Linked DNA regions of Cricetulus griseus. The protein of the gene in region 1 purifies or fractionates together with the protein of each later gene. This does not show direct contact. Links are inferred from orthologs where the notes say so. Each region holds a gene or a part of one and is shown in the gene's direction. Other genes may lie near its edges.

Region 1 (3,648 bases):
GCCTCCCAAGAGCTGGGATTAAAGGTGTGTGCCACCAAAGCCTGGCCACCAACTCATTCTTATACTCCACGGTATATTACAGTTCTGCTGGCTTGATTTCTTTATCTCACCTGTCTTTCATCTACATTGTTTTTTTTCTATTCTGTATTCCCTCTAGAGCAGTGGTTCTCAACCTTTCTAATGCTGCCACCCTTTAATACAGTTCCTCATGTTGTGGTGAGCTCCCTGATCATAAAATTACGTTGTTGCTACTTTCATAACTAATTTTGCCACTGTTACGAATCATAATGTAAATATCTGATATGGGAAGGGCCCTTTGACCCCAAAGGGGTTGTGACCCACAGGTTGAGAACCATTGCTCTAGAGTAACTACCCGTCTTGGTTTCCCTAAACCTGAAGAATTTCCAGGTTGTGAGGCATTAATGTTAACTCTAAATAAGAGAGTTTTGGAGTGACTTCACTGTGGACCAGAAATTGTTCCTATTTTACATTCCTGCATTTTCCCACAGGTCGCTTTGACAGAGAGGTAGATATTGGAATCCCTGATGCTACAGGACGCTTGGAAATTCTTCAGATCCATACCAAGAACATGAAACTGGCAGATGATGTGGACTTGGAACAGGTGGAGTGGTGATGATGGCTGGCCAAAACCTTGGGTAGCTCTGTTTTTAGGAAGTTGCAAGGGACTACTAACATAGTCTAAGATAAGAGTTCATATCAGTAATCCCAGAATTTGGGGAGGGTGAGGCAGAGGCAGGAGGATCTTGAGTTTGAGGTCAGTGTGGGCTACCCAGCAAGAGTCTATCTTTTCATTTTTTTTTTTTTTTAGAGCTGCATGGAGCTTATTTTGATTTCAGGGTAGAAAATGTGTTTCTTAATTGTTGCTCTGTTAAGAGTAATTCATACATTGTTGAACAGCTTTATTTCTAGCTCCCAAATCCAGGCTTAAGTATTTAATACTTGCCACTAAAAGGTCTGCTGTAGTATATATCTCTTTAAGGAAATAAAAGGAATCAGAGATAGGAATCGGGGTGGACTCAGGATTCTGTTTCTGACTTCTTAAGGAAGTGGTTTCTTGAGGATAGTCAGTAGATCTTTTCTCTGCAGGTAGCCAATGAGACTCATGGCCATGTAGGTGCTGATTTGGCAGCCCTGTGTTCAGAGGCTGCTCTGCAGGCCATCCGGAAAAAAATGGACCTTATTGATCTTGAGGATGAGACCATTGATGCAGAGGTCATGAATTCCTTGGCAGTTACTATGGATGATTTCCGGGTAAGGACTATATCCACAAATAGTTATTTTGTTGTATGCACCCCCCACCCTCCATCTCATTCCCCTTTTTCAAACACCCTTTTTAGTGGGCCTTGAGTCAAAGCAACCCATCAGCACTTCGGGAAACTGTGGTAGAGGTGCCACAAGTAACCTGGGAAGACATTGGAGGCTTGGAAGATGTCAAACGGGAGCTTCAGGAACTGGTTCAGGTAGGCCAATTTGCTCTAGGGTGGTGGGTCATTGCCTCAATGTATAGTAATTGGCCGTTTAGGTCTCAGACTCAAATCTACTTAGAATTGTGACTATAATTCAGAAGCCTGCTCTTACTGAGTTTTAGGTAGTAAGGAGCCTATTTAAAAACTAGCACCATAGACCATAGGATGTGCCACAAAGTAGATGATATGCTTCTGATTTTTTTAAAAGATTTTATTTATTTATTATGTTTGCCTGCATGCCAGCAGAGGGCACCAGATATCATTCAAGGTGGTTGTGAGCCACCAGATAGTTGCTGAGAATTGAACTCAGGACCTCTGGAAGAACAGTCAATGCTCTTAACTGCTGAGCCACCTCTCCAGCCCTATGCTTCTGATTAATAACGATTTTATTTAAAATATTGAGAGGTTGCCCTTAAATCATCTTTGCTTTCTTCTAGTATCCTGTGGAGCATCCAGACAAATTCCTCAAATTTGGAATGACCCCTTCCAAAGGTGTTCTCTTCTATGGACCTCCTGGTTGTGGGAAGACCTTGCTGGCCAAAGCCATTGCTAATGAATGCCAGGCTAACTTCATCTCTATCAAGGGTCCTGAGCTGCTCACCATGTGGTTTGGGGAATCTGAGGCCAATGTCAGGGAAATTTTTGACAAGGTGAGTTTTCAGAGGCTGGCTGTTCATATGTTTGGGGGCAAGGTAAGATAGGAGGCTATTTCTTCATAGTCAAAACTATTTTATTACTGGCAGCTCAGTGATTGCTTTCTTCTGAAGTTTGAGAGATTAATTAATATTTGAGTTGATCTCTTTCTTTCTCCCAGGCACGGCAAGCTGCCCCCTGTGTACTATTCTTTGATGAGTTAGATTCAATTGCCAAGGCTCGTGGTGGTAATATTGGAGATGGTGGTGGAGCTGCTGACCGAGTCATCAATCAGATCCTGACAGAAATGGATGGCATGTCCACAAAAAAGAATGTGTTTATCATTGGAGCTACCAACCGGCCTGACATCATTGATCCTGCTATCCTAAGACCTGGCCGTCTTGATCAGCTCATCTATATCCCACTTCCTGATGAGAAGTCCCGTGTTGCCATCCTGAAGGCTAACCTGCGCAAGTCTCCAGTTGCCAAGGCATGTGCAAAGTTGTCAGCCATGAAGCCTTTTTTTCTATCCTGGATAGGATGCCATTGGGGATTTGTAGGTTTTCTAAAGGCAATATGAGAGATTTGTGAATATTAGGATAATTTAAGAGATACAGAATAAAATGGGGTGGCAGAGCCAAGAGTAGCTCAAAGATCTATGTGTCCCATGGGAGGCAGTTAACGATGCTAAACTAAGTAGCTTTTTTGCTTCCTTTAGGATGTGGATTTGGAGTTCCTGGCTAAGATGACAAATGGCTTTTCTGGAGCTGATCTGACAGAGATTTGCCAACGTGCTTGTAAACTGGCCATTCGTGAATCTATTGAGAGTGAGATTAGGCGAGAACGAGAGAGGCAGACAAATCCATCAGCTATGGTGAGTCAGTATCTTTGTTCAAATGTGCCATTCTAGGGACCATCCTCCATGACCCAGAGTTGAGAGTAGAAGGTATTAGGAGGGTCCCTTTACTGAGATGTTAAGCAGGGAATCCTAGAAAATGAATAAACAGCTAAGCTGGGTGTGGTGCAGGCATATTCCAGCTCTCGGTGAATGCAGCAAGATGAGAAATAAAGGGCCCTACATGAGACTTTTAGAGATAAAGGGTTGGGTTGGGTAAGCTTGATGCCTTGAGGGAAATGAAAGTATGATTGTGCAACAGAACAGAACAGGGTTTTTTATTTATTTAATTTTATTTTTATATGCACTGGTGTTTTGCCTGCATGTATATGTGTGTGAGGGTGTCTGATTCCCTGGAACTGGAGGTATGGACAGTTGTGATCTGTCATATGGGTGCTGGAATTGAGCCTGGGTCCTCTGGAAGAGCAGCCAGTTCTCTTAACTGCTGAGGCATCTCTCGAACCCTCTGGAAAAGGATTTTTAAACTGAAGTCTGGACTTCAGCATCCTGGTGGGGAAGGGAATTCTTGTACTCTCAAAATAGAAAAATTAAGTATAAGAATGTAAAAACTATGAAATTTACAATTCTGTCTCTACTGTAGTTCCACTGTTTGGAGGTTTGTGAATGAATAAG
Region 2 (3,748 bases), on another chromosome or scaffold:
AACTGCTCCATCTAAAAGAAGGGAGGCATGAGCTGGGCTCGCGGGCAAATAGCTGATTTGGGAAATACAGGCTGTCAGAATAACCGCAAAGCCTTGGTGTGGGGAGGCATGCTCTGCACATGAATGTCAGTTTGGGCCCTAGCGTTCCTAAATCTAATTTTAGCCAGATGCCAGGGGAGTCTCACGTTTATGAAAAGCTGAGCTGCACTTCACTGAAGTGTTTCTGGGTGGACTTTATCGTGTCCCATGAGGAAAATGTGGTCGCGATTCACTCTGAGTTGGGATTAAGTGGCGGTTTTCTCCTCCTGCTGGCTCAGCGCCGACAGCACTGACCCCGCTGGGAGGCAGACAAGGCAGCTGACCGCGCACTAAAACCCAGGTTCCAGGGCCTCAGAGGCCAGAATTCCTACAATCCCAACGGTCTTTTCCACAGGCACCTGCCCACACCTAAGTACGCATGTGCAGAGCTCCTGGGCTCTGCACAGACCTGGTCCCTACGTAGCCTCAGAGGGTGAGAAATCAGCTCCGCCTCGAGGGTGGAGCCTTGAGAGCCTAGGGGTGTGCTGATGAGTTTTCATTTGGAGGGAGTGACTGACAGTGAAGTGGGTGAGGCGGAGCGATGGATCAGGTGGAGCATACCGGAATGGGCGGGGCCTAACGATGGCGACCATACTGGGGCGGGGCTTGCCGCAGATGGGTGGGGCTCTGCCATAGTTAGGCTTCAGGGGCCAGAGAGAAGACCAAGGGTTGAGTTGTTGTTAGGCCTTATTGGGTGGGACTTGCGACGGAGGCAGGGCTTGATGCTGGACCGGATGAATGGAGACTGCAGCCGGGTCAGGTGTAGCAGGTTCGCACTGGAGGCGGGGCTTGCGGTAAGCCTAGATGGGCGGGGCTTGTTGCTATGTGGGGTGGGGCGGGGTTTGCCATAGGCGGGACAGGGGTGTGGCTTGTAGTTGGGCGGCGCTTTTGGGGTGCTTGCCTCAGTGTGGATCTTGCCCCTCAGGTCGGGGAGGGTCTTGCTGTGGGGCAGGTCTTGCCTCAGGGCGGGGCTTTGCCTCGGGTCAGGTGTGGGCGGAACTTGTCGATGGACGGGGTTTGCTGCAGCCTGGGGTGAAGATCCCGATCCAGGCCTGGGGTGCCAGAGTCCCCATGGGGCTGTGCTTACCATGTCCTGCGGAGTCCGCCCCGCCGTCCCCGAGCCCGGTGAGTAGCCAACCTCGCGCTACTCCAACTCGGTGGTGCATCTAGGTGGAAGGTGCACCTTACTGGCCGTTGGACACTCCACGAGGCTGTCCTCCGGACCCTCCTCGGACCTAGCAGGTGGGGGCTGTCCTGTCCCTAGGGGGTTGCTCTACACACGGGCATCTTCTCCTGTCAGTACCAGCTGTACAGCGAAGGCCCTGGACGCGCCGCTCCCTGTGCCAAATAGTGGATATTTTATTAACCTGCTGCTTCCTTTTGCTTGGTTTGTAACAGCTGGGGACCTGCCCAGCTTTAAATTGCACATAAACAAGTCATGCCTTTTAGATTAGAGGTTTCCAGTAGTGCTGTGTTTGGGATGTATGTATGTGAAAACAGTCATTATTTATTTGAAAGTCGAATATAAGCAAGCCCTTTGCTCTAACAGTATGTTTGTATTAATACTTTTACCTGTATTTGGTAACATAACGATCTAATTTTTCTCTCTGCATCGGTTCTTGGTGTAGCTAAAAATTAGTTGAAGCAATGAGAGATTTAGGGAAGTATATTAGTCCGTTAGCTACTCGGTTATATATAGTAAAGTGACTGTTTAGTGGATGTTGGAAAGTTTAGCCTTCCTTTGTGGCTCCTGTTGATTTTAGATACTGTTGAAATTGGGTTTAGCGCCGGGCGTTGGTGGCGCACGTCTTTAATTCCAGCACTCGGGAGGCAGAGGCAGGTGGATCTCTGATTTCGAGGCCAGCCTGGTCTACAGAGCGAGTGCCAGGATAGGCTCCAAAGCTACACAGAGAAACCCTGTCTCGAAAAAACAAAACAAAACAACAACAACAACAACAAAAAATTGTGTTTTAGCTCCTGAGAAAAATTTCCTGTCAGCATTTGTTATGCCATCTGTCCCCACTGCCATCCTCTTCCCTTAACCACAGGGCTCACTGGTGTACTTCACTTAGCACCTAAGATTTCCCTGAGCTCATAAATAAGCTGTAGGATCAGCAACCTCCCTCCTATTCCTTACCCATCAGGATCATTGTATCTCTTCCTGAGTTGTTACTTCCTTCAGACACACAGATGTATATTTGCTTACTGAACTCAAGTCTGTTTGGGTGTCTGTATTTCATGGCTGTGTTCTTAGTGCCTAGAAAAATTGGTGACAATCATTGTGATGGATAGATGTGTGTACTTGGTGTGGAGAAAAAAATGGTTAAAATCACACACCAAGATAATGCTACTTGTTGTCTGAATGTATTTAAAGACTTTATAATTAATAAGGAAAGGGCATAGAAAAAATACCATGGTGTTTCCAGAGTTGAGACAAGTGCCCCCCCCCCCAGTTTCTTTTCTTTATCTCCCCGATCCAACACAGTGAGATCAGCCCACTGGTTCTAAATGTTTTCCCAAACTCCAACCTGCTTCATTCCCATTTTAAACTAACTTCCAAATTACCCTCATGGTTTAAACTTCATTTTAAAAACATTTAATCCCCAATGTAAGTCCATTTTTTTTAAGAAGTAAATATCCTGCAGGCCAACTTATATTGATTTCTACATGTGCTAATTGGTATATTGGTCTAGAGAATGAAATTCAGGAAGTTAAATATTTAATAAATATTGTAATATTGGTAGAATTCAGGATTATTTTGTTTTATTTTGTTTGAGTGAAGTTAAATTCTTGCCATGTTGCTCAGGCTAGTCTTGATTGGGCCTCAGCCTCACATAACTAGAATCTGAAACTATAGCTCCAGCACACCTTAGTGGACTCTTACAGTGACTTTCTTTGTGAGGCTTTTGCACCCATACTAAGATTTTACAAACTGTTTCAATTTGCACATAATTATTTATTTTTGTTGCCTCTAAAGTAAAGGTGTGTAAGGGGGTCTATGATGCTTGATTTTTCTCTTGAAACATGTTATGTATTTTCTTAGGAAGAGAAAAGAGCAAAGCTGGCAGAGGCAGCAGAAAGAAGACAGAAAGAGGTGAGAGCACAATAGTTTGCCTGTTCAATAAGTATTTTATTTCACTTTCTATTTTACTTTCTGTCGTGTTCCTTTGCTGTAAAGTACATGATGACATACATAGTTTTATACTCAAAGATAACCATTCTCAAAGTGATTTCCAAGTATCCATGAACTGCATGCATTTACAACATTTACTGTGAAAACAGCCCCAGATGACTTTGGCATTTAAGCCTGTCCTGTGACAGCATTTTTCCTCAGGATAAACTCACCATGCTGATAAGGAGGATGTGGTTGCAAAATGACTGTTTTATGCAAGGCTTTATGGCATACTGCCCTGTTATGCAAACCAACTTCCCACCCCTAAATGAAAAGCTAAAAAGCAAAACAAGCACCTTTGGACACCAGATACTTTTGCTTTTTCTCTGTAATCTCCCTTGGTTGAATTTCTTAAAGGCTGCATCTCGGGGGATTTTGGATATTCACTCGGTGGAGGCAAAGAGGAAGAAGAAAGAACAGTTAGAAAAGCAGATGGAAACATCAGGGCCACCAGCAGGTGGACTTAGGGTGAGTATCATATGGCAGTTCATTCACTAA
Region 3 (3,748 bases), on another chromosome or scaffold:
GTGACACTAGTCCCAACTATAATGTGGATTGTAGTGACATCTTGTAGATTTCTAAAAAAAAATTATAGATCTCTTAAATGCCGAGCCATTTCTACAGTTCTTACAATGGAATTTTCATCAGAATGAAACCTGGTAATTAGGGTGGGGAGTGAAAAAGAAAAACAGGGTTATTGTCTTACAGATGTAGGACAGATTATGCCTTGGCTGCTTAATGGTTTGTTGTTGATGCTGCCATTGTGGGTAAGAATTCAATATATGCATTTGGCCACACCCAATCCTGAGGAGTTAAGTCTGGGACTTAAGGATTTATCGAAATAAATGGGGAGTTTGGGGCTGGAGAGATGGCTCAGTAGTTTGAAGCACTGGCTGCTTGCTCTTCCAGAAGTTCAATTCCCAGCAGTTCACAACTGTCAATAACTCCAGCCCCAGGGAATCCGATGCACTCTACCGGCCTCCATGATCATTGCATGCACATGGTGCAGACATGAGTCACGGACTTACATAAATAAACTAGAAAATCAACAAAAAAAAGTCGGGGATGGTGGTGCGTGCCTGTAATTTCAGCTCCGAGGAAGAGAAGCCTGAGTTCTAGGCAAGTGTGGGCAACACAGAGAGACCACAGCTCTTAAAAGAATGAAGAGCTGGGCGGTGGTGTCGCACGCCTTTAATCCCAGCACTCGGGAGTCAGAGGCAGGAGGATCTCTGTGAATTCGAGACCAGCCTGGGCTACAGGATGAGTTCCAGAACAACCAGAGCTACACAGAGAAACTCTTGTCTCGAAGGAAAAAAAAAACACAATGTTCCTGAGTGGGTGGGGGAAAAAAAAAAACACTGAACCGGGGAAGGAGAAGGATTTTTAGGACTTTAACTCGCAAGTCTTTTGAGTTTTCCGATCTGTGCTCCTCCGACTCAGCAGCCCCCACAAAGACATAGTCACCTTGTCGCGTGCCAGGCTGGGAACCAGCGAGAAACGAGTCTTACGGCTAGAGAGGCGATGGTCCGCCGGTGGACGGGTTCGTATGACGCCATTTCCTCTTTTCCCTGTTTTGATTGGCTAAAGGGCTCGGGTGTTTTGGATTGGCCGGACTGTCTACAACCCCAGGGTGCTTTGCGGCGCTCGGTCTTTTCCGCTCGGCCGTTCTCCTGTACCGGAGGTGAGTCCCTACCGTCAGCCGCCACCATCGTGTTGCATCGGGCTCCATCGCGCTCCATCCGCCGCCATCGGCGAGGAGAGGCAGCCTGCGCAACTATGGAGGAGCCCAGGCGCCGACGGCATGGGGCCGGAGCCAGGGCAGGGCGGGAGGACTTGGGGCGGGAGCTCGGGACTCTGGCCTTCACCCGCCGCCCTCCTCTCCCTCACGGCCTTAGGCAGCCATGGCGCCCAGCCGGAATGGCATGATCCTGAAGCCCCACTTCCACAAGGATTGGCAGCGGCGAGTGGACACTTGGTTCAACCAGCCGGCACGCAAGATCCGCAGGTGTGGCGCGCGGGCCCGGCGGGGTGCCCGGGGCGGGGTGCCCGGGGCGGGGTGCCGGAATGGACGCGTGTGGGCCGGAGGTGACTGTTGTGTTTTTACCGCAGACGCAAGGCCCGGCAGGCGAAAGCGCGCCGCATCGCCCCTCGCCCCGCGTCCGGTCCCATCAGGCCGATAGTGAGGTGCCCTACAGTGAGATACCACACCAAGGTCCGAGCTGGCAGGGGCTTCAGCCTGGAAGAACTCAGGGTGAGTTCGGCAGGGTCTCTGCGCTGAGTACTCTTGGTCTCGGTGGAATGATGACAATTCTCCGGAATCGCTGTACTGTCTTGATGAAAGTACTTTTGAACCCTTTTCCATCTGATAACGCCGAGCTTTCTCGGCGGGGGCAGCAGGGGAGGGACTTGGAGGTGTTTCATCCATTACTGTTTCTGGCTAGGTGGCTGGTATCCATAAGAAAGTGGCTCGAACCATCGGCATCTCTGTGGACCCAAGGAGACGAAACAAATCCACTGAATCACTACAGGCCAATGTGCAGCGCCTGAAGGAGTACCGCTCCAAGCTCATACTTTTCCCCAGGAAGCCTTCTGCTCCCAAGAAGGGAGACAGTTCTGTGAGTACAGCGGGTCTTCGTGGTGTTGGGTTTGGTTCAGTGTAGATGAGTCTGCCTGGGTCCCGCTCTGCTGAGGTGACACTGCGGCGGTACAAGTCATGTGTGGGCCACTGAAATCCCTGTGGTTTTCTGTCCTAATGGAAGGTTATTGGCTTGGGGCCTGACTTGCTATTTGATGGTTTGCCCCCTACAAGGTTATCTAGGAACATTTTTGGACGTCTAGTATTTTAGTATTCAGGAATGCAAAGAACATAGACATTTAACAAGCATCAGGGGTATCTGTCGTTATGGGCTTCCTCAGAGTGGGATTAGAAGAAGGTGGATTTGTTCTGTCCCCTCAATCGAACAGGACCCTCCCCTATGCCTAGTAAGCCAGCACATGGGGGCCATGAAATGCTGAGGGCTACAGGCCTAGGCAGCCTGCTCATTAGGAACAAACTGCACCCAGGGCGATGAGTGTGAAAGACAAAAAGGGAGCTGGACTCAACTTTTCTTCTTAAACAGGCTGAAGAACTGAAACTGGCCACCCAGCTAACAGGACCTGTGATGCGCATACGGAATGTAAGTTACTGCTTGAAGTTAAGATTGGCAGGAGGAAAGTGTTGTGATGGACATGTAGATTTAAATCTTTTAGATTTTGTTTTGGGGGGGGGGTTTCTATCCCTAGCCATCCTGTGCTGTAGGCCATGCTGGCCTTGAACTCTGAGATTTACTTGCCTCCTGAGTGCCAGGGTTAGAGGTGTGTGCCGCCACCTGGCTAACCTTCATCTTTTTAACGGGTGGCATTGTTTTGCTAGTTGGGGTGGGGGACTTTTTTCCCAGCCTGAAGGGGGCGTGGCATGTGTCTGTTGCTGTGATAAAATGCCATGGTCGAAACCAAGTTTGGTTTACACTTTCACATTATGGTCCTTCATTGAAGAAAGAAAGAGGTCCATCATTGTAGGTAAGAGCTGATACAGAGGCCGTGGAGACTGGTGCTGCTGTAGAATCCAGCACTACCATTTCACAGTCATATTCCCTGTGTAGACCAGAAAGTTCTGCTTCCTTAGTGCTGGGATTAAAGGTGTGTGCCACTATGGCCCAGCTTTACTGCCCTGTCTTTTTGCTGGATGCATTTTCCCATTGAGACTCGTAAAATTAGCCAACACATGTTCTTAACTGAAGTCATGACTAGTTATTTTCTGAACGGGGTCTCTGTGTGTAAGCCAAAGCTTGCTTTGTAGTCTACCCAGGATCCTCCTACCTCAAACTTCCAAGTACTGTGGTAACTTACATGATCCTGGAAGAATCCTGTCTCTGTCACTCCTGAGAGTTGAGACAGAGTTACAGTTCTGTGGACAGGTTGCAATTCAAACCACCTTGACTTACGTCTTTTTCCAGGTCTACAAAAAGGAGAAAGCCAGAGTTATCACAGAAGAAGAGAAGAACTTCAAGGCTTTTGCCAGTCTTCGTATGGCCCGGGCCAATGCCCGGCTCTTTGGCATCCGAGCAAAAAGGGCAAAGGAAGCTGCAGAGCAAGATGTTGAAAAGAAAAAGTGATGTGCTATTGGAGTACTGCAATAAAACTTTCCATAAAGCAAAAGCTGGATGTTGTGCTTTGTCTATGTATATGCCTGTGTGAGAGTGCTGGGTCCACTGGAACTGGAGTTAGGCAGCTAAT

The links.
Region 2: the proteins of Vcp (region 1) and Svip purify together in Homo sapiens (affinity purification with western blotting; 3 studies listed by BioGRID and IntAct, with this or other methods). This does not show direct contact. The link is inferred for Cricetulus griseus from reciprocal best matches to the Homo sapiens genes VCP and SVIP.
Region 3: the proteins of Vcp (region 1) and Rpl13 purify together in Homo sapiens (affinity purification with mass spectrometry, with the first as the bait; 3 studies listed by BioGRID). This does not show direct contact. The link is inferred for Cricetulus griseus from reciprocal best matches to the Homo sapiens genes VCP and RPL13.

What each region holds. Positions count from the first base shown.
Region 1 is NC_048595.1:100,551,466-100,555,113, forward strand, and holds part of Vcp (transitional endoplasmic reticulum ATPase), read left to right. Parts: intron 1-509; coding exon 510-622; intron 623-1,107; coding exon 1,108-1,272; intron 1,273-1,358; coding exon 1,359-1,481; intron 1,482-1,924; coding exon 1,925-2,137; intron 2,138-2,301; coding exon 2,302-2,610; intron 2,611-2,838; coding exon 2,839-2,994; intron 2,995-3,648. UniProt on the Homo sapiens protein: Necessary for the fragmentation of Golgi stacks during mitosis and for their reassembly after mitosis. Involved in the formation of the transitional endoplasmic reticulum (tER).
Region 2 is NC_048596.1:148,858,374-148,862,121, reverse strand, and holds the start of Svip (small VCP/p97-interacting protein), read left to right. Parts: upstream 1-1,149; coding exon 1,150-1,203; intron 1,204-3,121; coding exon 3,122-3,172; intron 3,173-3,451; exon of another isoform or gene 3,452-3,607; coding exon 3,608-3,718; intron 3,719-3,748. UniProt on the Homo sapiens protein: Negative regulator of the ER-associated degradation pathway (ERAD) of misfolded proteins. It competes with AMFR/gp78 for binding VCP/p97, and inhibits AMFR/gp78-VCP/p97 complex formation that is required for degradation of ERAD substrates.
Region 3 is NC_048596.1:199,781,815-199,785,562, forward strand, and holds Rpl13 (60S ribosomal protein L13), read left to right. Parts: upstream 1-1,367; 5' UTR 1,368-1,374; coding exon 1,375-1,478; intron 1,479-1,582; coding exon 1,583-1,724; intron 1,725-1,772; exon of another isoform or gene 1,773-1,859; intron 1,860-1,914; coding exon 1,915-2,088; intron 2,089-2,592; coding exon 2,593-2,649; intron 2,650-3,468; coding exon 3,469-3,627; 3' UTR 3,628-3,666; downstream 3,667-3,748. UniProt on the Homo sapiens protein: Component of the ribosome, a large ribonucleoprotein complex responsible for the synthesis of proteins in the cell.